Coturnix japonica: one gene and its partners. The main gene of each other region encodes a partner of the protein of the gene in region 4 in a complex. Links are inferred from orthologs where the notes say so. Each region holds a gene or a part of one and is shown on either strand. Other genes may lie near its edges.

Region 1 (3,500 bases), on a different chromosome or scaffold from region 4:
ATGACTTTTGTTTTCAAAACAGTCATTCTCTAATAACGCTTTAAGCACCACAATGCATAATTATGCAAAAAATAAAAAGAAAAAATAAAAAAGAAAATGGTTTTGAGTTTGCATTTGCACAGAATGGCCCATCTGAACACAGGGTTTCTAATGCTAGCCCAGAATCTGCACAGCGGAACAGAGACTGGGTGATTAAATTGAGAGAAGCGAAAGAGTCTTATGGAAACAATATTAGACTTTCTTTTTGTGTTGCAGAAATACAGCTTTACCTGATTTTACTGGCAGTGCCCCTTTTGAGGTGGAATCAGCTCCTCCCCCTCCTACCCCCCGAACCCCCTTCACATTACCAGTGCTATTCTGCTAACTTGGAAGCACAGCCTGCATTTTCTTAATTATCCCCAGAGACTTCTGTACGAATGTAACCCTATGCACATGCATGCAATTGTATTTATGAGTAAAAGCTGCACAACCAGCCTCTTGCCCTAATGCAGGTCAGTTATGCAGGTACCCAAACACTGCTCAGGAAGAAGCAGTGGGATATATCCTGCAGTAGTCCCTCACGAGGCAGTCAATAAGATGGGCCTGATTTTATTTAAAACCCCACCAATAATGAAAACAATAACCACCATCAGTGGAAAACAAACCTTTAGTGCAGCTGGTTTAGGTGACATGTATATAATACATACTAACACTACATATACATATTCTCTCTATATATACACATTTTAGTACAGGAAAGCAAAACAAGTAAAGCATAAATGAAGATCTTAATGCGTCTGTTGTTTTAAAGGCATCTGACTCCCCGCCGTACGGTACCTCCACAGATCAAGCAGATGGCACTAAGGAGACCGGTTTCTGTGTCATCCATTTCCAAAGGCAGGAGCTGGTTGGCAAAGGTGAACACGAGGTCGGTCAGGGGGCCAAATCCAGCATTGTGCATCTGAGTTCGGTTCAGGGTAAGGCCATCTGAAAATGTCATGGTGTCTTGTTCTGGTGTGTATCTTGTGCAAATTCTGAGGATCTGTGGAGGGATAAAGATGTAACCTGAAGAATTCAGCCCTTGAGAGGTTTGCTGCCTTCTCCCGACGCAGCAAATTACCCGTGGAACTGAAGTACGTGCTCACGTCAAAACAATCTGAAACCAAACTCCGGTACGTTCAGTTCCAGTAGCCCCGAAGTTCTCCACATAAACAAACACTTGACTGTCTACGATTGTTTTTGTAGTAGAAATTGGTCACTTCAAAGCTTTCCCTTTGGTTGTGAGATACTCAAAAATTCTGTGTGTTCCCATGACTTCACTCATCAGCATTACTGTAATAATCCCATAAATGGCACTTTAATTAGTACTCTCTACACATCAAACTATCGTTACTGCATTGCCACTCTGATCCCAGCAAGATCATTCATGATACTTGAACTGCTCATTGGTTTGGGGGTCACATCTGTGTGACAGCGCTGCTCTGCACTGTGACTTTGGTAGGACAAGGGATATCTGCCTTCTGGGAGGTACAAACCCCAACTGCTGAACGAGGCAGAACACAGCCTGAGCTCTTGAGGCTCCTTCATTTCTCCTGTGACAGCAAAGTTGTACTGTAGAACTCAATCAGCAAGCGAACAAATGCTCAGCCGGGAGAAAGAAATGGAAAGGAAGCCCAACATAAGGAGCATCAGGCTACTCCTTGCTCACAGACCCAGGGCTGCACTCCTGCCTTTCAGAACACCCACAAGGAGCTATAGTATAGATGCCAGTTAAGGTGATCTCTGCACACATTCCTACTTCACTCATCAGGCCTGACCTGCACTTTGCCTCAGTGCCGACCTTCCTGCCCTGGGCCCTGACTCATCCCCATCCGTCCCCACCAGCAGCTCCACAAAGCGCTGCTTGTCCTGCGGCCTGCACACTCCTTCTGAGCCGATTACCAGGCTCTGAACCCTCACGTGGCAGCACGCGGCAGCCTCAGGAGCTCGCCCAGCTTTTCCTCTTCTCCCCTCAGCTACAGCCGCGTGCTGCAGCACCACACCTGCCCAGGCAGCCACACCAAGCCCGGCATCTCCCAGGCCAAGCAGCCTCAGTGCTGCCCTGACGCTGCACAAGGAAGGGCTGAGTTGGCTTTGGCAGGTCCACCTCTGTGAGATGAGCTGGCCCACCCTGAGCACAGATAAGAGCGTTCCAGGGAAGACATGAGTTCACACCTTTTTGCTGGCCATGAGGAATGCAGAGGTTCTGTGTGCTGGCCAACACTCACCTCAGGGTTGTGACTGGAAGGAAATGTTACAGTGCATGGTGCCTTGTCAATAGAAGATGGCAAGGTTACCGTACCCTACACTGACAGAAACCGCTGGAGGTTCTCTCCCCACACACTCACTGTTTCTTAACCTTTACACCCAGGAGTTGGGCTCGATGATCCTCACCTGTCCAACTTAGGGTATTCTAAAATTCTGTAATCTTTAAAAGGAATAATAAGGAGCACGGAGGGAGCTGCTGGAACAAGAAACACCTCTTAGAGCCTACCTAGAAGAACAGAAACTACACACTTAGAATTGTCCAAGCAACCTGCCTCCTGCTGAGCACATTTTGTGGGTTCCTCAACAGTCCCAGTGCTGCCTGTGAGCTGGCCTCGCTCTGCTGAGGACACACGGAGCAGCCTGAAGCTGCCACAGTGCTGACATGGACTAAGTCATCCAAGCTGCACCCACAGCAGGAGCAAGTCGGGTGCTGGGTTACGGAGCCCAGAGCCCCAGTGAGCAGGCACAGGGAGCCTTGCACAATTCGTGATTAAAACCTTCGGGTCCCATGGAATGTAGTTACTTCCAGGCACAGACGGCAACTGGGAAGGTTTTTCACAAAAGGCAGACTTGAGGCTTTTGTGCCTAAATGCCGCTTGAGCCTTTAATTGGATGAGCCTGCAGTGGCTCAGACGGGGCAACTGGCACAGCTGAAGCTCAACTATGTGTTTTCTGCAATGCACTTAACTTGACTGGAGCAATCAGCTCTCAGGTTTCTCCTGCATTCCTTCTACATTATCCCACAACACACTGTTATTAAACTCTGAGACAGATCATTTAAAATGTTTTTGTGTGTTGTTTTTTTTATTCTTGTGGTTTTTTATTTATTTATTTTAAATTTATGCCCTTCATCAAGATCTGTGAAATGCTAAGGATATTGCTGAGTTGCTGCTAAACCTTTCTTGGGCAAACTTCCAGTGTCAAAGTAAAGTCAATTTCAAGCTCATAGTCACTGAAGAACATATGGGAAATGTCAGCACTTCAAAATAAGAAATCACTGTATCTTTCCCCATTTTAAACTGTCTAGAAGACATCCTCCTAATGTCTTCAGTACTGTTTAGGTTTTGTAACTAAGCCAAGTATTTTAGTTGTCACTCTGCTCTTAAATGCCACTTGCAGCCATAAATAAGGTTCTTGCCAATGATTAAAGGACCCTTTGTTTTAAAGAATACATCTTGAAGTGTCTATGACTCAGTTACAAACAGCTAAAAAGA
Region 2 (2,409 bases), on a different chromosome or scaffold from region 4:
CATATGAGTCACTAAGCAAAAGAGAACAAAGAAAGCCAATGGAAATGACTTTGGAAAGATGAAAGAAGGTAAAAATGCAATTGCTGAAGCAAACAAATAAACAGGTTCAAAGAACTGAAAAAAAATATAGGTGACGGAGACTAAAGAATAAGTGAGCTCCTTCTGAACTGAAAAGAGCTGAATCTGCAGTATGTTCCAAAGCATCCACAACCTTGGGATACCTGACCAAAATATCTGTGGGGTCTGGTGACTGGGCACTGTACATCATTGCTTCAGGCTCTGCAGCTGTATGTACCCAATAGGCTCAGCTGAAAAGAACAGACCTGCAGGTGCTGACTGCTCAGCTGCTTCTAATAACAACATTGCACTTTGCAAAGGGAAAAAAGGACCACGAGCTTCTAAAACTTAATCCGAAATCAAACGCACACTGAGATGAAATGTGCTGACTAATGAATTCACGCAATAAACCTAAAGATTTATGTTTGCAAAGCGCAGCAAAGTTACATCAAAGGTGAGTTTATTGTATATTACAGTAATTACAAACATTTTTTAAACACCTTATTGCCATGGTTTTGTTCTCAGAACACACTATGTGATTAACAACGTGCATTTCAGCAGTAACAAAAAAGGTATTAAAATTACAAATGTTATGCCTTGTTTCTGTGCCATAGAAAAGGCCATCTTCAAAAGAGTCAAGTTACTAGCAAACATAGGAGGGGATTCCCCTTACACCTTTTGTCCCAGGAACGTTGTCCTCTAATATGTATAGTAAATATATATACAAACGCACGCATCTCTTGCAAACATACACATTTACATCAGCACTGGAAATCTGACATCCCTCATCCAGCAGAAAGCTCCCAGTCATTTTAGTTGAACATCTAATGGGAAAAGATATATAAATTTTAAGTTCATGGTTTGAAATTAGCCACTCTTTGAGCTTGCTGTATCTTCTCCCTGCATGGGGCTGCCAGCATAAATAAAAGGGACTTTGAATAACAGCATCCAACCTACCTTCACCACAGGAAAGGTCTACTAGGGATACTGTCCCTCCTGTACCTAGTCTGAGTCGCTGCTGCTGCTTGAGGAGTCTGTTGACATCACTTCTACATCATCTTCATTCTCTTTGTTGTGTCCCGGAGGCTCCAACATGAAGTCATTACTATGATTAGGAGGTAGCATGTTCATTGACATATCACTTGACTGCCAAGGATACTGAGGAGCGAGCACATCTGGAAACAAGGAGCATAATCAAGCCATCAGTTGTGTGTGTCCACCATCTAAACAAGGGAGCTCAAACAACAGTGTAAAATTCAAGCAAATCTTAAAAACATGACTGGCTTTTGGACAGCTGAAAAACACCTTGTGATGGAGTCATTCTATCACTGTAAGAGCCTATTCTGCCACAGGCTTATTTATGTAGGTGGCTTAATCTCTCATCAAAGGAAAAAGTAAATTCAGAACAGTATAGATTCAAACTGTGTTTTGAAGGTGAAAAGCTCTACATGAACTGACTTAACAGTCAAAACCACCAGCGGTTATGAAAACGGTCACTCTCAGACACTATGCAAAAAGACATGAAAATATTACAGCAAGAAAGAATAAGGTAGGCACAGGAATTCAGATTTAAGTTCAGTCTGAACAAGGTAGAAACACCTCGGTTATCCTTTTTCAAAGAGCAAATACAATGCAGCAAATGCAAGGGAGAAGACAGTCCTACTACAAAACAAGTGCCATAAACAGATGTATCTGGGAGGTGGGAATGCCTCACAGTGCCCCAGCAGCCCAACCCCAGCGTCCTCCAACGTCTCTCAGATTTATTTCTCCTCATCTATTCCAAAGCTCTCCAAACATGTATTTCTCACGAACCTACAAGGGAACTCCCTCCACGACACTTCTTAGTCTCTCTCCTCTTTGCCTCCCACTTCAAAGCTGCAGCGTGCATCTGTATGTCATTTCTGCTCCTTTCTTTCTAATCTCTACTCCTACAGATACAGGTTGGGCGGAGGATGGCTTGAGAGCAACCCTGGGGAAAAGGATTTGGGGGTGTTGATTGATGAAAGATTCAACGTGAGCTGGCAATGTGCACTTGCAGCCCAGAAGACCAACAGTGTCCTCAGTTGCACCAAGAGAAGCATGACCAGCAGACTCCCCCTTACTCTGCTCTCATACCCCACCTGGAGTGCTGTGTCCATTCTGGAGCCCCAAACACAAGGACATGGAGCTGTTGGAGCAGATCCAGAGGAGCAACATAAAGATGATCAGAGGGCTGGAGCACCTCCCCTACAAGGACACACTGAGAGAGCTGGGGCCATCCAGCCTAGAGAAGAGAAGGCTCTGGGGGGACCTTATAGCGACCTTCCAGTACCTGAGGGGGGACTAAAAGAAAGCTGGGAAGGGACTTCTTAT
Region 3 (3,974 bases), on a different chromosome or scaffold from region 4:
ACTGTTTTTCGGGTGGGAGATACTCAGTAGTTTCACCAACGTTAACATGAAAAGTGAAGGTAAGCCTGTGGAGAGCAAGTTAGTGGCTTTTAATTACACTTTTTGGGCAGAGTCTAGAAGAGCTTCAGCAGCGATCAGTGACAGTGCCCTGTCTCTGTGGGATGCCTTACCATGTGAGTCGATCGTACTCATTCTCCAGCTTGTAGATAAAACTGACCAATGAGTTCTTCAGGTCAGCCACCTGGCTGATGAGTGCCTCCAGGGTCAGCTCCAGCTGCTTCTCCTCTCTCTGAAAAAAAGAATGAAAGATAGGGGTGAGGACAAAGCTTTGTACCTTTCCAAGGACTGTGGGGATCCATACATCTGCAACCATATTCCACCCTCTCCTATGGAGAGACTCCTCTTCAAGGCAAGGAAACAGAGACCACGTAGATAAAAATCCTACATTTTCACACTTATCTTGTCTCCTTGTAAGAAACATTTAGGAAGAGACTCGTACCTGAGCCAACCCATGGCTAGCTGTCATTTTTAAGATCTAGATAAGTAAAGCCTATACATCACTTGCATCAGGCAAAGTCATCAAAGTTACCTTGCACCACCTCCGTGAGTTATTCATGCTAACCCAGCTGAAAGCAGATTAGCATTCTCAGCACCCTTTGACAGCAGGCACAGTGATGTCTTCACCCAGCACAGCCATTTGCAAAACAAGTATCAGATCAGTGGCCCAAAGACTCCAGTTTCTGCCCTTACCCTCATCTCTCACTTTCTTCCTGTCCAGGTGCTGCATCCAGCTCCTAAAAATTCCTTGTCCCTTACCAGCTGTGGAAGGCGCTGCAGTGTCAGTGACGTAGTTAGACACATGCAGAGATCACCTGCTGCCTTTTGCCTTGGTGCACTGCTTAAATAATCTTCTCCCCTAGCTGAGAGGAGTATGGTGACATACAAAGCAATAGGAGAGGAGACCTGTTGTCACATATAGCACAGAATATCTCCGACTCTTGCGAAAACCCTCTAGAACCTTATCTATTCTTACTCATTCAACAGAATTGCACAAAATGTAATTAAAGCCCCAATCCTAATGGACTGCTAATGTAAGTCAAGGACTGTACAACAATAATCCACGAGGAGGGTGAGACACAGCAATACAGTTAAATAATAGAAAGGGAATGCTGATTGGGAAAGCAGATGGGGTGACTCAGTCTGCTTGCACGCTCACTATTGGGATCCTTGTGCTGTTTAAACAAACTGAAACTAGCATGAGATCATCAAGTATCTTCCACATTTAAGAGAACATGAAATTATTCTACTCACGGTCTGACAAGACTATAAAGGTTTTGTTTTTTTTTCCATAGACTGCTGATAAGACTTCACTACCTTAGAAGAAATGGCAAAATAAATGTGGCTAAAATCCACTTCCAATCCACAGCATGGATTAACAGAGCAAACCACGGGGTTACAACTCACAGCTACAGCACTGCAGCTCTCCGCCATCCTGTGATGGGACTAGTCTGTTCCTGTGCACTTAAGAAACAAGTCTAACGCTGACTGTGCACGTTGTGTTTGAGCAAGATGAACCACTGACAGCACTACGAGTTGGGCTGGGAGCCAGTATCTCACTGCAGAGGTGGCAGGTACACACAACCAAGACAACTGGTGTGGCCCATTGCCAGCGCGTATCCAAGAAGCCCTAAAGATTGTGAATGAAATCACACTACACTGTGTGACAGTGCAGTCTGAGCCTCCTCCTTTTGTGTGCTCTCTCCATGAGAGCTGGAAGTAAGTTTAAGCACCGCAAAGCACACGTGCACCAAGATCAATGATTCAAAGAAATACTCTGCCTCTCACAGACATATACAAGCAGCAATTCAAGGAGTCTGTTAACAATACTGAATTGTCCCAGGGTAATAAAATAGGATTTACGGGAGAGACTGCTGAAGGAACTCCTGATAATGAATGACTGGGAGGTAAAGGTGAAATTCAGAATAAACATAAAGCAATACACACAATGAAACAAAGAGAAATAAACAACCCTGACTTTACACACACACAATGACATTCTCTGAGCTGATAACATTATCACTCACAAACAAGATCTGAGGATTATCCGAGGGTAACCCAGGGAAACATCAGCCTGAGGCTCAAGAAGTCGAGGAAATCAAAGTAATAATGGGATTTATTAGGAAAGCAAGGGATCCTGTCACTGTTACCTGGGAGAGGAGGCCGACCTCCACCCCATTGTAAATATTTGGAGAGTTTAAGGGAGTCATGGGGTCCCTCTGAGCCTCCTTTTATCCAGACTGAACCATCCCAGCTCCCCCAGCTGCTCTCTGTAATGCCTCCACCCCTCACTTTCCCTGTCGCAATCTCTGGACACGCTCAGGTCTCAATGCCCTTCTTGCTTAAGGGGCCCAGAACAGAACGCAGCACTCGAGATGCGGCCTCAACCAATGTCAGCACAGAGGGACGCCCACCACCCCGCTCCTATAGGATACACTGAGCCTCCACGAGCCAAGATACCATAGACCTTCTCGAACAACTGGGCACACTGCTTTACTCCTCCAAAGCCCGGCCCACGGGGCACAGCGGAACCCCATACGGGCCTACTGCTCCCTCTAGCCTAGCCTAGCCTAGCCTAGCCTAGCCCAGCCCAGCCCAGCCCAGCCCAGCCCAGCCCAGCCCAATACAGCCCTGCTCAACCCCATACAGCCCCTCACCTGCATGGCTGCGCGGCCCTGTTGTTATGGCAGCCTTCCACTTCCGAGTCAGGTCAGAGGGCGCGGGGCGGGGCCGCCGGGCAAACATGGCGGCTGCCGAGAGGCCCGAGGCTGAGGTGAGGGGTAACGCGCTGCGGGGCGAGGGGAGGCGGGGTTGTTTGCGGCTTTGAGACCGGGAACTGTGTAGAGAGGTCGGGGGTTGTGGTGGTGCCCGGCCTGGAGTGACGAGGCGCTGTGCTTCTGCTGCAGGTGGAGGAGGCTGGGCACGTCTTCCTGTTGATGAAGAAGGACTATCGCATCTCCCGCAACGTGCGGCTCGCCTGGGTGCTCAGCCGGCTGCACCAGGTCATCTGGGCTGTGCCCGAGCCCGAGCTGGTGAGTGGGGGCCGGGGGTGCTGCAGGGTGGATGGTGGCCCTGCATCTCGGCGTGTCCTTTGGCTTGGAGTAATGTTTCATGCTTGTCGTTCGCTTCTTGTTGTAGTTGAAGTCAGAAAACGAGCTGGATGTGCTCAGCATCCTGCCCAACGGATGGCAGCCGGATGAGCCCGTCCAGCCCCGGCCCTACCTCTTGGTGCCCTCCACGCGCGTTACGTTCCTGGCCCGCCAGTACCGCTTTGTCATTGAGCTCGATCTGAGCCCTTCCACTGGCATCGTGGTGAGTCCAGGAGCTGCCTCTCTGGGGTGTTTTGTGTTAAAGGACCAGGCTTGGTTCCCTCTGCTGAGAACATGTGTGTCCCTGCATTAGTGGTCACTCCTGCAGGGGTCCTGTGTTCCTGAGGGCTGAAGCAGGCACTGCTGCTGGCAACACAGCCTTGCAGTGGATCCTGTTTCCTTGCAGAATGTGTGACCTCTGCTTGCAGGGGTCGTTCTGAGGCAGCTGCTGTTGCAGAAATAGGCTTGTACTTGTCTCTGTGTGGTGGGTGCAATGAGATTGCAGATTCCAGAAGATGTAAAAGCTGTTTTGTTTACCCCATGCAGTGCTGCTGATTTAGGGGCTGTGGCTGAGAGCTTTATGGAGGGAGAGGATCTAGGAGTGTTAGCTGACAGCTGGCTGAACATGGGCCAGCAGTGTGCCCAGGTCTCCAAGAAGGCATCCTGGCTTGTATCAGAACTAGTGTGGTCAGAAGGACTGAGGAGGTGTTCAAAAGCTGTGGAGATGTGAGGTGCAGTTAGTGGGTGTGGTGGGAATGGGTTGATGGTTGGACAAGGTAATCTTAGCTATAATGATTCTATAATTCTCCTCTTCTGTTTCTGTAGGAT
Region 4 (4,275 bases):
CAAAATCAGAATGATGCAACAGCTCTTGTTGCTCACCTCAGATGTTGCACCAATTCTGGACAGCTCTGAAAAGGAAAGAACACACAGCAAAATCAACATCAAATGCTTCAGTGTAAGTCTTTGTGCAGCACAGCAGCTGTAAAATATCAGGACAGTGAAGTCTGTGAGCATCAGTTTTGATGAGAAGCAACAAAACACTCACAAATACAAGATTAATTTCCCTATTCTTCCCCCAGAAATGAAACTTTCAGAAGCAGCAGAACAAGCAGATATAACATTAGGTTTGGGGGAATGTTCAGTACAATCCATTTTCTCTGCACAAGAAAAAGGGAAGCAAAACTGCAGTTCCAAAAACAAAGGTATTTTTCTTGTATTTCTTAGCAATACGTACCACAGGATTCTCTCCATGGTGAGCCACCTTGACATCACATAGCAGCCCTGTAGGATCTAACTGGACTTCCACATAGAACATGTCTGAAGTGATGTAACATTCGGTGCCATTTGCACTGAGGTGTGATCCAAGGCTTAAATACAAAACAAAGCAAAAATTACTAAGAGATACACACAAGAAACAGTCAAACCAGCAGCAAAATTATGATGTATACAGATAAGTAGGAGATACAAAACTGCTGTGAAACAAAGGAGAAGATGTACCCATTTTGTCTGGCTATGGACTCCAGGCGATCTGTCATGGCAGGCAGAGAAGACACTAGACAAAGAAAGCAAAAATAAGCCTTAGTGATACGACTGAACATCTTTCCAGTAATGATGTATCAGCATTAAAAGCAATCCCAACTACTTACTCACACCCACTCCATACTCAAAAAACAAGAATCGTTTTGCATAGAGAAAAACAAACATTCTCAGTGTGGATTTTCATCCACAAGTGGAATCCATGTATGGGCAATAAGAATAAAAGCAACACAGGCAATTTTGGCTGATAATGACTCACAAGAAATAAGCATGCTTCTATAAGCACCACGAGCACACTGAGCTTTGCAAGCAATAACCTCGCAGGTTCCTCTAATACAGAGTATTTCCATAGTATATCACTGTTAAGCATTTCCTGAGTGCAGGCACAGCACGTACCAACCTTTTAATGCTTTTTGCAAGGTCTCCAAACAGCTCACCAGATGTTGGTGCCCCCCAGAGTTCATCACAAGTCGTTTTTCCTACGTCAGAAAGAAGAAAAACAGTCGTTTTAAAGTTTCACTCCATGAGAGGAAAATTACTGCAATTTTCATTCAGTCGAGTGAGGTTTATTCAGGTAATTAAAGGCAGATTGGATTTCATCCCCAAATTACACCCTCATTGCGATTCCTGTACCAGAATCATATCCATATTTGCAGTGGGTAAAACAGGCAGGTCTGGAATTGATTATTAAGCTTGCTCTTGTGAAAGATCAGACTGCAACAACTTCTTAAATAGCATAAGCTACGAGTTATATGAGAGGAGCAAGAGAAACAAAGAGAGATTAACTTTAACACCACAACACATACAGCAGCTTTTGATGATGCTCTTCCCTGCCTCCCACTCCTTTCTACCCTCACCAAGGTATTTCAAAGCTGCATCTGACTGAGATAACACTGAGTGTTGAGCATCACTGTAAAGGAAACCCCAGCACTTCTCACCATGACTTGACGGACCAGCTTCATGGTTTCAGTCCAAGGTCTGTTTTGGTTGTACTTTGCATGAAGTCTTTCTAAGAGAGCACTCATCTTATTCAGCTTCTCTGCCTCTGTCAGACAAAGCGGAATGAAAACATAGAAACAAAAGAGAACGTGAGCTGATTGCACAGCCCTTCCAAGCCGGGACACACTCAGCCTTTATAAATGTGTGCTGAATCCAATCTATACATTGTGGGGCTCTAAAACTCATTGTAGCACTTTATTAAGTTACATTGTTATGGAAGGCATCTCCCTGATACCAGGTATTTCTGGCTCCAACACAAGTCTATGGCAACATAACTGCCATAGAACATGACCCTACAAGGCCTATAGAATCAGAAGGGTTTATAAACTGATACACACAGATGTCATGGACTTAATGCCAACCCCATCAAATCAAAGCAGAACAAACAACCGAACGGTTCGCTACCACAGGAGCCCATCAGCCTTTATTTCCATCCACCACAGCCCCGCTCTGGAGCTGCTTAATGCCCAGCTTTGAGACCCATTGAGACCCATGGGGACCCCATTGAAGCCCATTCAGACCCATAGAAACCCACTGGGACCCATAGGGATCCATAGAGACCCAAAGTGGGGAGGGGACCCGACGACCCACACATGGTGAGTATGGACCCATAGGGACACATAGAGACCCCATAGAGACCCATAGGGACCCATAGAGATCCCATAGAGACCCATAGGGACCCATAGAGACCCATAGGGACCCATAGAGACCCCATAGGGACCCATAGGGACCCATAGGGACCCATAGAGACCCCATAGAGACCCACTGGGACCCCACGGCCGGGCTCCGCCGTTCCCTGCAGGCCCAACCGCCGTCCCTCGAGCTGTGGAACCCCCCCCATCCCGAGGAGGCCGGGCCTTCCCTCCGCCTCCACACAGCGCAGCCCCGCTAGGCCGCACTCACCCTCAGCGCCTCCCGGCACCGCCTTCATGCCTCAGGGAGGGGAGGGGCGGCCCGCGGCGGAGCCACAGGGCCGGTATCACGTCGATAAACGGGAAGGGATGGGGATAAACCGCGGCCGGGCCGCTCCGCTCCGGCCTCACACGGCGGCGCCCGCCGCCATCCCTCCGGCCGCGGCTCCCGCTTCTCGCGAGAACTTCTGAGTCTCGCGAGAGGTAGGGAGTCATGGTGAGAAGGGGGAGTGATTAGGGGGCGGGGCGTTGCGCTCAAGCCCCGCCCCCTGGATGCTGATTGGTGCTGAGCGGGCGGAAGGGGCGGGGCTTCGTGCGCTCCCCGGGACGGAGTAAAGTTCGTTCTCAGACCTCGCGAGAAGACGGTGCGCGCGCGCGCACTCCCTTCCGCCTTCCCAATTCTCAGCGCTTGAAATCTCGCGGGGGGAGGGCTCAGGCCGAGTCTCGCGAGAAGCAGCAGTTATCTCGCGAGACTTGGCGGGTGCCCCCCTTGGGCCGAGGAGCCGTTTCGCTTTGGGAAGTGAGCGGGGGGCGCTGGGCCGGGCCGGGGCGGCGGGGACCGAACGGGGCCGCACGGTGGGAACCCGGTACTGAGGGTTGGGACAGGGCGGGAGGGAACCGGACACAACGGGACCGGGAGGGATCGTGGGCCCAGCTCCCGCCTTCCCGGGGCTCCCCCCGCGGCGGCGCTGCCCTCCGGGCCTGGGCCCCTCGGATGAGGCGCTGAGGCCCGGTGTCCTTCCCCGCCGCTCCCGGTTCCGTTCCTTTCCCATTCTCCCTCTCCCCGTTGTTCCCTTCCTCCTCGCTCTCTCCGTCCCGCTCCCCATGCAGCAGGAGGTGCCGGGGGGCGGTGAATGGTTCGAATAGAGGGAGGCTGAGGGAGTTGGAAAGTCGAGGAGGATTTGGAGGAGCGCCCCCGCCTCCCCCTGTCCCAGCACAGTGGAGGAGGAGGAATGCCAAACCAAGAGAGACATGGGGGGAAGAAGGATGGGGGCGGCGGGGGGACCTCGCTGCACTCATCGGGCAGCTCCAATAGCAAGGAGAGGCACCGGGTGGCTTCAAGGCATAAGAGGCATAAATCCCGGCACTCCAAGGAGTCACCGTTGGCCGCCCAAGAGACGGCGGCGCCTCTGGGAGCTGTGATCAAACCGTTGGTGGAATACGATGATATCAGTTCGGATTCGGATACGTTCTCGGATGATTTGGCCCTTAAGTTGGACAGGAGGGAGAATGAGGAGAGGAAAGCGGATAGGAGCGAAAGGACGCAGAAACATCGACACCACCAGCACAAACGTATCCGTGAGCTGATGAAGAGCAAACAGGCAGAGAAAGAGAGGAAGTTGGAAAAGAGCCTGGAGGCCTCCAGCAGGTCCGGGTCTACCAAGGACAGGGTATCGGGGTCCTCTAAGAGACTGCTTGAAAGCGAGGAGCACCCGAAGGCCCCGTCCTCAAAGAGCAGCAACAAGGAATCCCGCTCAGCCAAAGCGCACAAGGAAAAGTCCAGGAAGGATCGGGAGCTCAAGTCCAGCCACAAAGAGCGAAGTAAAAGCCATCGGAAAAGGGATGCTCCCAAAAGTTATAAAACCATTGACAGTCCGAAACGGAAATCTAGAAGTCCCCATAGAAAATGGTTGGACAGCCCAAAATTGGATGACAGCCCTTCTGGAGCTTC
Region 5 (3,241 bases), on a different chromosome or scaffold from region 4:
GAGGTGCTTTTCTGAAGTAATCGACTTGTAGAACAATTCTTTGCTTTCAGGCATGTTTTGGGAACAATCTCTTTGCTTCCTTCCACTTACGGAACCATGTTGGGACAACCTAGGAAAGCTCATTTGTTGGCCTTTTGAGATAGGGAGCAAAGATGGAGGAAGAAGATAGGACATCACGCTTTGGTTTGTGCAGTGGAGATTTATATTTGTAACATATGGATTAATTCAGCTCTTGCATCTGTAGCATTTTGTACCAGGCTTTTCTTAGGGTAAGCATTAAAAAGCAGGAATTTAACTTAAAAATGGGGTCAGAATTTTGTTTTGAATTATGCCTGTTGGTAAAACAAGTTTTGTGTTTTGTAGGAAACAAGGCTTGGGAGGCTTATCAATGAGGTGAGGAAGAAGACATCCAATGAGGAACTTGCCAAACGTGCCAAGAAGTTGCTGCGGAATTGGCAAAAGTTGATAGAACCTGTAACCCCAAATGAGGCGGTGCCAAGAGGGCTGCAGAATCCACCCGGATCAGCAAATGGTGGTGCTCACAACTGCAAACCAGAAGCACCCCTTCCTGCCGTGGCTGGGTCAAAACCTATCAGTGAATTGAAAAGCAGGAACGATATCCAGAAACTAAATTCTCCAAAACCAGAGAAATTGGGAAATCGGAAAAGGAAAGGTGAACACAGGGATGGGCACCAGGGCCCCCCTCCCACCAAGGTCTCCAAAGTTAGTCATGAAATATTACAAAACTCTTCATCCCCTCCAACAAACGGAATTGGAGGTAGTCCCGAGAGTTTTCCTAGTCCTGTAGATGTAAATCTACATGCAGGGCCTGAAAGCAGCAGGACAGAACTTAGTGAAAATGATAAACACAATAAGATCCCAGTAAATGCTGTAAAACCTCACACCAGTTCTCCAGGACTCGTAAAACCTTCAAGCACTTCCTCGTTATTAAAGACTGCAGTGCTTCAGCAGCATGATAAATTGGAAGAAACCACCGGGTCGCACCAACCCAAGAGTCCGCGCTGCTCCTCGTTTAGCCCTCGAAATGTTAGGCACGATACTTTTGCTCGGCAGCATACCACGTACTCACCAAAGGATTCAATGCCTAGTCCATCTCAAAGGTCTCAGTTCTTAGATACTGCACAGGTGCCATCACCGCCACCATCCTTGATGCAACCATCAACGCCTCCAATGCCAGCTAAAAGACTGGAGTTCTCTCAGCAATCAGCATCTGAGGTGTCCCAGCACTGGCAGGAGCAGCAGGTACCTTGTGACAGCCAGCACAGGCACACAGCAGGGACACTTCCACAGCACACATCTCCCAGTTGCAAAACCAGCTCCCACCCGGGGGAATCTCTCATGTCGCACATCGGCTTTTCACAGGACGCTTCAAAAATGGACAGTGATGATGCTGCTTCAGGTTCAGATAGCAAAAAGAAGAAAAGGTACCGACCTAGAGACTACACAGTCAACTTGGATGGGCACGTGACAGAAGGGGGTGTGAAACCTGTGAGATTAAAAGAGAGGAAGCTCACTTTTGATCCCATGACAGGACAGATAAAACCTTTAACACCGAAAGATCCTTTGCAGGTAGAAATCCCTGCACTTACTGAACAGCACAGGACAGAAACGGAAAAGCAGGAGCAAAAACCCAACCTGCAAAGCCCCTTTGAACAAACGAACTGGAAAGAATTGTCCAGAAATGAAATAATTCAGTCATATTTAAACAGACAGAGTAGCTTGCTGTCTTCATCAGGAGTACAGACTCCAGGAGCTCACTACTTCATGTCTGAGTATTTAAAGCAGGAGGAAAGCACTAGAAAAGAGGCTAGAAAGACTCACGTTCTGGTTCCTAACAGCAAACCTACAGACTTGCCTGGGGTCACGAGGGAGGTCACGAATGATGATCTCAACAGAATACGTGAACATAACTGGCCAGGCGTGAACGGTTGTTATGATACACAGGGTAACTGGTATGATTGGACACAGTGCATATCTTTAGATCCACACGGGGATGATGGTAGATTGAACATCCTGCCTTATGTCTGCCTAGACTGAGTAACAGGTTTGCTAAAATGCTTTTACATTCACAGTTAGCGAGAATGGCAGACACTATGCCACTTAAAGATGGAGAAAGCCTCCTGTCCTGGACAAATAGGCCCAACGAGCAGAGGGTGAGAGGGAGCTGGTTACGTACAGCTCTTCCCTTTAAATTCTCCTTTTGTGAAATGCTGCTACCAGTTTACTAACAATTGCAAAGGAAGGCATACGAAGGTTGAGAAAACTGAGTTCAAAACTCTCTAGCGAGCCAGCTATAAAAAAAGTGTTAGTCCCCAAGAAGTGAAGATGATTTCCAGCACTTTCTGAATGCCGGAATCTGACGACAGGCAGGTACAGAGAAAATTGTGGAAGTTACCTTAACAAAATATGCATCTATTTATTTGACTTGATTTGGATTTTTATTTGGCAGTGAGGTATTCAAGAGACGATGTGCAAAAACTGTAGTTTTATTTGTATGGCATCTCTGAACATGATTGTGTTTTTTTTTAAAGTCATGTGGTACGGAGATTGGCTTTTAAACAGCAGGTGTTGCACTGCAGGCTGGGAGACCAGCTTCAGCTCAACATTCCATGGGCATCCACATGTTTCAGTCTGGTTTTGGTTTAAATCCAGTCTCTGAGAAATGCTGCAAAAAAAAAACCCAGATATTTCCTGACATTTTTGATCCCGCCGCCACCAGCCAAATATTTTCCTCCTTTTCCCTTCCTGCAAAACTACTAGGAAACAAAAAACTAAATAAAAAAATCACCTTTTCTAGAATCTAAATGTAACGAGGGTGCTACAAGTCCGTAACTGTACTGTGAGAGGGAAAAAGGAAGCCTGTTTGTATGCTGGAAATATACTTGTTACCATTCCTTTAGATATTGTTTGCCTTATGGATATCCATCATAAACGCAATTTGCAAAAACAAAGAGCCTTAGTGAATGTACAGTACCTAGACTTCTGTGTTCCTGGGATGCAGAAGGGAGCAACTTTGCTATTTGGTCCTTTAAGTGGACACATTGTGATATAAATGTGGAAATAAAAAAAAATTTGCACAAAGCAGTTTGTGAATTATTTATATTGAACTAATTTATTTTTGAAGATCTGCTCCATTCCAAGTAACAGAACCCAGTGGAGCCGTGCGGGTCCCACCGGGCAGTGCCAGCCGCTGCTGTTAGGGACGTAGTGATGTCTTCCA
Region 6 (3,500 bases), on a different chromosome or scaffold from region 4:
AGGCGATGAGGAGCTCATTCCAACCTGCAGAGAAAACAACAGAAAGGCCATGGTTCAGAACCGTGCATCTTCACAGTGTGGGAATCAGCCACATCCATTGCCCTGGCAACAGTGCATACAATGGCTGAGATGGCATGGCTTCTGTAGCTCGGTATCTGGAGGAGCAGCACTGCTCCATGGGCATCCCACATGGCCATGACCGTGCCTTGGAAACCAGCTTGAGCTCCCCTCCATCCACAGCAATGTGCCTTTTCTCATTGACTGCAATAAACACAAGGTCCATGCGTGCTGTGTTTACCTACAGCTGCAGCAATGGGTTGTGCCACTCAAAGCATTACCAGGGAATAAAGTTCACTGTTCCCTAAGTGGCCACAGGACGGTTCCGCCCCAATCAAGGGACCATTTATTTGGTTACACGCTGGGTGAGGTCTGGCACTTGCAGAGGGATTGCAACACTGAGAACAGAGAGACTGCAGGAAGCTGGAGGGGACCTGGAGAGATGGTGACTCATGGAAAGGTGCTGTGGGCTCAGCCCTATAAAAGGAACCAGAACCAGGCTCTCCCCCTCTCAGTCCTATAAAACATTACTGCTGTCTCAGCCGTAGCAGGTTTGGCACAAAGGAAAACCAGGCAAAACAAGCTGAAAAAAAGTTGGGTTTCCTCCTCCAAAAAGCCCAAAGAGGGAAGGTTTTAAATGATTCAGGACTGCAGAGGAAGGCTGCAGCCACCACCCAGCACTGCTCCTCCATGCGTGCTCCACTTAGTTTTGCCTCAGAGGATGCATGAGTGCACCTGATGGAGGCTCTTAGCTATATTTTAATACTTAAATATTTCATGGGCAGCTGTGCTCTCGCCACTCAATAATAGATAAAGCCACAGCTTAAAGGACTTGGGGGAGGTTATCTGAGGCCCCTGCAGAGATGCTGGGAGTGGGGAACCTGTGGGAGCTCCTCATGCTTATGAACCCATGACAAAACTCCATGATGGTGTCTGCAGCCCCCACCCTCCCTTCACCAACACTGAGACAGCATCAGTTCAACCTTCAATCTCTTGTTCAACCTTCCTCAGCCCCCTTTAGACAAACAATTGCAGCAATTACAGGATCACAAAATGGTTTGAGTTGGATGGGTCCCTTTAAGGCCATCAGGTCCCACTCCCTGCAGTGATTAAGGACACCCACAGCTCCGCAGGGTGTTCAGAGCCCCTCCAGTCTGACCTTGGCTGTCTGCAGAGATACGACCTGTGCCAATGTCTCACCACCCTTAGGAACTATTAGGATTCATGCACTTGGGATACAACTCTAAGTGCATCTGGAGGAAAATATGGGAACATTAAAACTACTGAGGTCTTTTCCTTTCCAATCCCAATTTCATCCTCCTTCCCACTGAGTTTGTCATTTGCTGGAAGGGGTTTCCCACGTCCCACCAACAACTTGCCTGCCCCTTTGTTTCAGGGAACAAAACTGCTGCGTTGACTCAAAGCCTTTGTACTCACTTCTCTGATGATGAGAGCTATGTGAAGAGCTTCGTGCCTACAAAGCACCCTCATCGAGTCTGCTTGTAATTTCCTGCTCCCCCCCCCCCCCCATTAGCCCTTGTGAAGGACCTGCCAGCAGCTGAGGCTTGCGTTTACTTGCTGGAAGAAGACCTCCTTCCCAGCTGACAGCCTGTAACCTCCCAGACCCCCTGCAGCATAAGGAAATTTAAAATAAACCCAAAGAACTTCATTTTCATCTTGGTGGGTGGGAGTGGGAAGGCGATATATATTTTTCTCCCCCGTCTGCTTTTAATTATGATCAAACATTGCAGTTCTATGACATTTCAGACAGACTCAAACCCCCTTGTCTTTCCAGTCCCAGCTCAGGAGGATGCTGGCACATCATGCCCTTGATTTCCTGAGCATCTCGTTCATCACACACAAGGCCGGGCCATTTTTCAGCCCATTGGCAGCTGGTGCAACGTTCTGGATCCCATTCAGCAATACATCCCTTGGGGCTTTGTCAATCATAGTTAGCAGTGGAATGATCTGAAGCTATTCCTCAGATGCAGCTAAAGCCTCTCCAGTTGCCAGCACCCAAATCCCAGCGTGACCATTGAGGGATGCAGTGCATCGGGGCTCACCGGCCCTGAGCAGGATGACCTGGTCGTCCAATGGCAGCGCAGAGAACCTGGGGATCCTCTTGGCCCACTCCACCAAGGTGAAGAGCTGCTTGTCGGCCGCCTGGCAAATGTTCGTCACCGGGTCATTAGGCTGCAAAGAGGAGATGGAAAGGTTTAGAGAAAGCAAGGAGAAAGATGGGAGGAGTAGGAGAAGGAGGGAAGGGGGTGCTGCCTGCTTGCTCCCCAAGTTTGGGAGCTCTGTGCTCAATTTAAGTGGGTATCATCTGCAGGGACCCTGCAGTGTGCACAGCCCAAGTGTAAGCACCTCCTCATTGCACCCCACAGCATGGAGCGGGCATCACAGTAAGGAGAAAAACCCTCTCCTTTGAAATATTACCCAGTAACACAAACCATCTGCTCTCAAGGAGGACAGTCAGCCTAAACACACCAAATCCCTGTTTAAAGGAACTGCTAACAGCTCAAGTGGACTTGTGATTAGGAATGGGAAGAGACCGTCTAACCCCAGCAAAGACAGACCCTGCCAGCACAAGTGTGTATATATGGTTTACCTCTCCGGACAAGGATGTATGAGCCCCTCCACATATCCCGCTGTAATCCCCACTGATACCTAGCAGCTCTGATTGTACAATTATTTTTCTTTATGTCCTTAAAAGAACAGTTTCAAACTCAGAGGAGGAGTGTTTGTTGCACCTCTGCACTGCATGAGGCTGGGGCATGGGTTCTGTGCAGGCAAGGCAGGAGTTGCCCCAGGCACATGTCTGTGTCCCATGGTGTGCTCCCTCCTTCTCACCTTCTTTCTGCCACCCACATTGCTGACTTCTCACTTTTCCACTCATATTCCCTCAATATTGTGGACTTTGGGGTACCTGCCCAGTACACTGGGGGACTCTCTGCATGCAATACATGCCCTTTACCCAGCTGCATGGAGGGAGCAGGAGGTGAGCACACCATAAGGGATGCATTGGCCCCAGGGGATTGAAAGGGAAAAGGTCAGAGACTAAAACAGTGTGGAAAGAACCCTTCCCTTACTGACTGCAGAGCTGACCGTGTGCTCACAAACCAAAGGGAGATGAGAAATGCCACTCTGAGAAAAGGAAAAAGCCCTACAATTCTGCCCAGAGCCATTCCTATGTTCCCCTGCCTGGGTGGCTCTGCTGTTTCCTGGCAGCAAACACCACCTCTGTGTCTCAGTGGCCAACATCTCTCATCTCCAGGCTTAAAATAACCAGCATCTGGCAGGAGCAGGAACACCCGCCTTCAAAGTATTCTCACCTGTTGCTCACAGAGATGGATGGGGACGGGCTGGCACTCAGCACCATGGGTCGAGGGGAGCGTTATGGGGATGGTCCCCCAGCTTCACTTGCTTATCAAGAGAGCTCA
Region 7 (3,500 bases), on a different chromosome or scaffold from region 4:
ACAGAGCCGGTAGATACAGAATCTTTGGAAGAAAAACATTTCCTTAGTTTTGTACAAAACAAACAATTAATTCCCCTGCCAAAATAGCGTTTCTCACATACCTGGCATAATAATGAAGGACCCCTGCGGTTCCATTGCTACCAAACAAGCACTGAGAATGCTGGGAGAGTCTGCAGCAGAGATACCACACATTCTGCACATGTCTTTCAGCCTCTTACTGAGGGACTGAAGGTTTCGGCGACTCAACAAACAACTCCAGTCTGAGGATACAAAGGACATAGATTTGTCTAGAAGAACAACACTTGCTGAAGAATGCTTATTCTATGTATGACATAGTATTTGTGAGTTAACTTAGAGCTCCTTCATATGCTTCACCCAGGTTTTCTTCCAGAAAGAGATTGACACTATACTATTTAAAAAGAAAGCTTCAAATCGACTTTTAGACACTGAAGCACAAACGTTACCTTTTAATTCCCCATGTCCTATTCTTCCTAAGCGGCCTATTACGACTCTCCAAGGCAAAGAGCTCATCTGCACGAGTCCCAGGCACCATTCCCAGAGTTTCTGAAGCCCCAGCCTGCGGGCAGAGCCCTTTTTCCTGCGAGCTCTAGAATTAAAACAGAAGAGAAAACAAAACTGGAATCCATCTGTGACAAACTTCTATTGCCACCTTTGGAACTTGTTTGTACCAACCTGAATGTTCACAGGACACAAGGATTGGTTTGCTTTTCATTCATCACATTGTAACACTAACATCAAAAGCCAGAGGAAGGGGTGGAAGGGGAAATCACACAAACCAAAGCACTCTCCAATCACAGGAGGCCATAGGACATTCCTTCTAGAAATTTAACTCAATATCCACATCATATTGAAATTATCCACTTGGTTTAAATTTGCAGCACAGTGGGTCAACAAAAGCAAGAGATATTCTCACATCATCTTGATAAAAATGATTCTTTGAAAGAAAGAATATATACATGTTAAAAATCAAAAGGAGTTTGGTACTTACCTGTTCGGTACATCTATATTAATTATGCACGTCTCTAACTGTTCTCCATAGAGATCTGTACAGGATGCAAGAAGCCATCTTTGATCATGAGACAAACAGTAGCCGACAAAAAGCACGTTATATTTCTGACCAGCTTCTCCAAAGGTTTCTCCAAGCTCTGTTTGCTTGTCCTTGACAGGAGCCAATATAAAAGGAGGGGTGTACAGTCGAATACACTCAGGTCTCTATAAGGACAACAGAACAGAAAATGAAGTTTCAAGTAGAGATTACTATTAAGAACTCTGTTCAGTTCAAGTAAAAGACACCAATGATTTAATAAAAAGGGACATTTCTCTCATCTGCACATTAACAGAACCACATTAATCATAAGAATACTCACATCAGGGCTCTTAAGAGCTGTTTCCATGGCTAAGCCGGGGCCAAAGCCAGTTAATGTTTTCACATTGGTGGAAGATGGAAGAGGTCTCCGACACTGAGTAAACGCTGAAAACGCTAAAGACTTCAAATGCTGAGTATAAATCTGCCGGTCTTCGTGTTTCACAGGCTGCAGAAGGTACTGACACGGAACGATCTACAACAGGTCACACAGGGAAATAAAATTGATTAATTATTACATTTTTTGAGATAGTATTTGGGTACGCTGCTTTCAGGATTTAACTGTACAATCATCTCTAATTCTTTGAGGTCCTGCCACTTCTAAAGCCACACTGCACTTCAGGTCATCATTCTCATTGAAAATTCCCTCAGTGAATAAAAGAAGGGCATAATCACCTCCAAAACACAGCTAAAGCCAAAGACGCTTTGTTAGGCACGTTTCTGTGGCTGTTGGCTCACCTGCACAGAAATTATATTCTTGATGTTCGGAGGAAGAACCTGAACCATCTCTAAAAAGCAGCGCAGAAGTCCAAGTGTCCATAAACTAGATGAGCTGCTGCTCTCATCCTTTTTCTCATACGTAAAAGGATCGATTATGTAAACTACAATGGCAGGTGGGTAGGTGATAGCGTGTGAATCTCCATCTGTAGGAACTCCAACTTTATCACGATCCATAGTGCTGAAAGTGAAATTTTACAAGCAGTTACAAAACGCTGAGTTTGAGACAGACTTATTTTTACTTACATTAGAACTAAGACCAAACTATCAAAGATTAAAGACCTTTAAAGTTAACTGTGGCATAAGAAATTGTGTTTATAATTCAGTTTTGTATGTGAGCTTGCCAGCAGCTCAGCATCACTTGTTTTTTTTCTTTTGCCTTCCTTCTTACAGCAGCTCATCAGCACACAGTTCTGTTGGCTGAATGAGGTTTAACAGTTCCATTACCTTTCAGAAACCTCTGGGTGGGGCTGTGCAGTTGCTGTAGTAGCATCTCCAGACATCCCTGCTGTTTGCAGCACTGGCTGTTGCTGCTGTCCTCCTGTTTGCCCATTTTGGACCGTTGCAGCCTGAGAGGGCAGAGCAGCAGAAGTGGTATTGTTCATACTGCTAAAAGGTGGAAATGAAGAAGGCTTGCTTGTTGGGATCCCACTGCCTATGTTAGCAGAAGAGGATGACGTGGCAGTAGTAGTCAAAGTTGAGTTAGCTGTAGTAGCTGCAGAAGACATGGCACTGTTTGACGTTGCTGTCATAGTACTACTGGTAGAAGCTGCAGGAGCAGACGGAGTGTTGGGATTTCCAGTGCTGGCTGTCACGGGGGGCAGAGCAGAGGCTGGTTGGCTTGAGGGAGGGACCAGATTTGTTTGGGCAAGTAACGAATTGTCCAAAGGCTGAGAAGCAAGATAAGGACCTAAAAACAAGGGGAAAAAAATCCATACATTTTATACTGCAACTGTTTTGAGCAAACTTAAACTGAACCTATAGCAGTTTTAACAAAACAGTGAATAAAGCTTAAGTGTATGTTTTATCTTTCAAAAGAATGCAAGCATTAACATTACAGTTTTTAATAGTCTTATAACAGTTGCAGAAACACTCAAATCTATTTCAAAAGTAGCTTTTGTTTTCCAGTCATTAGAATTTGAGCAAGAAATCACTGCCTCAGAACACAAGACAGCAATGGAAAAACAGTAGCAGTCTCTATCAAGCAATAGCGCTGCCATTCCCTAACAAATACTGATGATAAGCAGCCATTTTAGAACATATGCAAAGATATGGGATTTCTGCCTTTTTTTGTTTCTAGTTTAAAATCAGAAAACTGCAACAAACAGTAGATTCAGTAAGTAAATTCAATGATTTCTCTTGTTCTGCAATGGATTAGGTGGTAACTCCATGAAATAAGAGTAAAATATATATATATTTATTCATACCCAGCTCATATCTGCAAACTTGGGCATACAGTTTGAGTTTGGAAAATGCTTCATTGTTGGCATTATTTGTCTGTGAGAACCATTCTGTGACCAGCTTCTCAGAAAGTTTCTTTGAAGCAGTGGGTCCAACTCTCATGATTCCATCAGGCAAAAATTTACAGATAGGTCGATGCTGGCCAAGTCTGCATGAC

Evidence for each region.
Region 1: the proteins of MED1 (region 4) and RARB are in contact, whole or in part, in a crystal structure (PDB 1XDK), measured with the Mus musculus proteins. The link is inferred for Coturnix japonica from reciprocal best matches to the Homo sapiens genes MED1 and RARB. Residues at the interface, in NP_001073587.1 of Mus musculus: His642, Pro643, Met644, Leu645, Met646, Leu648, Leu649, Lys650, Asp651; in NP_001276689.1 of Mus musculus: Ile264, Val267, Lys271, Phe276, Ile281, Gln284, Ile285, Leu288, Lys289, Pro435, Leu436, Glu439, Met440.
Region 2: MED1 (region 4) and MED4 share a complex: the UniProt entries of both Homo sapiens proteins name them as parts of the mediator complex. The link is inferred for Coturnix japonica from reciprocal best matches to the Homo sapiens genes MED1 and MED4.
Region 3: MED1 (region 4) and MED8 share a complex: the UniProt entries of both Homo sapiens proteins name them as parts of the mediator complex. The link is inferred for Coturnix japonica from reciprocal best matches to the Homo sapiens genes MED1 and MED8.
Region 5: MED1 (region 4) and MED26 share a complex: the UniProt entries of both Homo sapiens proteins name them as parts of the mediator complex. The link is inferred for Coturnix japonica from reciprocal best matches to the Homo sapiens genes MED1 and MED26.
Region 6: the proteins of MED1 (region 4) and RXRA are in contact, whole or in part, in a crystal structure (PDB 1XDK), measured with the Mus musculus proteins. The link is inferred for Coturnix japonica from reciprocal best matches to the Homo sapiens genes MED1 and RXRA. Residues at the interface, in NP_001073587.1 of Mus musculus: Asn641, His642, Pro643, Met644, Leu645, Met646, Leu648, Leu649, Lys650, Asp651; in NP_035435.1 of Mus musculus: Phe282, Val285, Lys289, Phe294, Leu299, Gln302, Val303, Leu306, Arg307, Thr454, Phe455, Glu458, Met459, Glu461, Ala462, Pro463.
Region 7: MED1 (region 4) and MED13 share a complex: the UniProt entries of both Homo sapiens proteins name them as parts of the mediator complex. The link is inferred for Coturnix japonica from reciprocal best matches to the Homo sapiens genes MED1 and MED13.

The regions. Positions count from the first base shown.
Region 1 is NC_029517.1:34,755,308-34,758,807, reverse strand, and holds part of RARB (retinoic acid receptor beta), read right to left. Parts: intron 1,022-3,500; coding exon 817-1,021; intron 1-816. UniProt on the Homo sapiens protein: Receptor for retinoic acid. Retinoic acid receptors bind as heterodimers to their target response elements in response to their ligands, all-trans or 9-cis retinoic acid, and regulate gene expression in various biological processes.
Region 2 is NC_029516.1:150,965,039-150,967,447, forward strand, and holds the end of MED4 (mediator of RNA polymerase II transcription subunit 4), read right to left. Parts: intron 1,233-2,409; coding exon 1,060-1,232; 3' UTR 1,015-1,059; exon of another isoform or gene 882-1,014; 3' UTR 501-881; downstream 1-500. UniProt on the Homo sapiens protein: Component of the Mediator complex, a coactivator involved in the regulated transcription of nearly all RNA polymerase II-dependent genes.
Region 3 is NC_029523.1:17,388,685-17,392,658, forward strand, and holds the start of MED8 (mediator of RNA polymerase II transcription subunit 8), read right to left. Parts: upstream 2,801-3,974; 5' UTR 2,721-2,800; coding exon 2,715-2,720; intron 775-2,714; exon of another isoform or gene 757-774; coding exon of another isoform or gene 751-756; intron 290-750; coding exon 171-289; intron 1-170. Other genes in the region: KICSTOR complex protein SZT2, read left to right, coding at 2,801-2,830, 2,964-3,089, 3,196-3,369, 3,972-3,974. UniProt on the Homo sapiens protein: Component of the Mediator complex, a coactivator involved in the regulated transcription of nearly all RNA polymerase II-dependent genes.
Region 4 is NC_029542.1:3,842,918-3,847,192, forward strand, and holds the start of MED1 (mediator of RNA polymerase II transcription subunit 1), read right to left. Parts: upstream 2,801-4,275; 5' UTR 2,624-2,800; coding exon 2,596-2,623; intron 1,739-2,595; coding exon 1,632-1,738; intron 1,173-1,631; coding exon 1,094-1,172; intron 710-1,093; coding exon 655-709; intron 525-654; coding exon 392-524; intron 66-391; coding exon 37-65; intron 1-36. Other genes in the region: CDK12 (cyclin-dependent kinase 12), read left to right, coding at 3,557-4,275. UniProt on the Homo sapiens protein: Component of the Mediator complex, a coactivator involved in the regulated transcription of nearly all RNA polymerase II-dependent genes.
Region 5 is NC_029543.1:3,359,649-3,362,889, forward strand, and holds the end of MED26 (mediator of RNA polymerase II transcription subunit 26), read left to right. Parts: intron 1-363; coding exon 364-2,058; 3' UTR 2,059-2,741; downstream 2,742-3,241. UniProt on the Homo sapiens protein: Component of the Mediator complex, a coactivator involved in the regulated transcription of nearly all RNA polymerase II-dependent genes.
Region 6 is NC_029532.1:5,859,644-5,863,143, reverse strand, and holds part of RXRA (retinoic acid receptor RXR-alpha), read right to left. Parts: intron 2,251-3,500; coding exon 2,121-2,250; intron 25-2,120; coding exon 1-24. UniProt on the Homo sapiens protein: Receptor for retinoic acid that acts as a transcription factor.
Region 7 is NC_029534.1:6,211,635-6,215,134, reverse strand, and holds part of MED13 (mediator of RNA polymerase II transcription subunit 13), read right to left. Parts: intron 3,500-3,500; coding exon 3,310-3,499; intron 2,793-3,309; coding exon 2,330-2,792; intron 2,064-2,329; coding exon 1,844-2,063; intron 1,581-1,843; coding exon 1,389-1,580; intron 1,234-1,388; coding exon 1,010-1,233; intron 608-1,009; coding exon 465-607; intron 261-464; coding exon 102-260; intron 23-101; coding exon 1-22. UniProt on the Homo sapiens protein: Component of the Mediator complex, a coactivator involved in the regulated transcription of nearly all RNA polymerase II-dependent genes.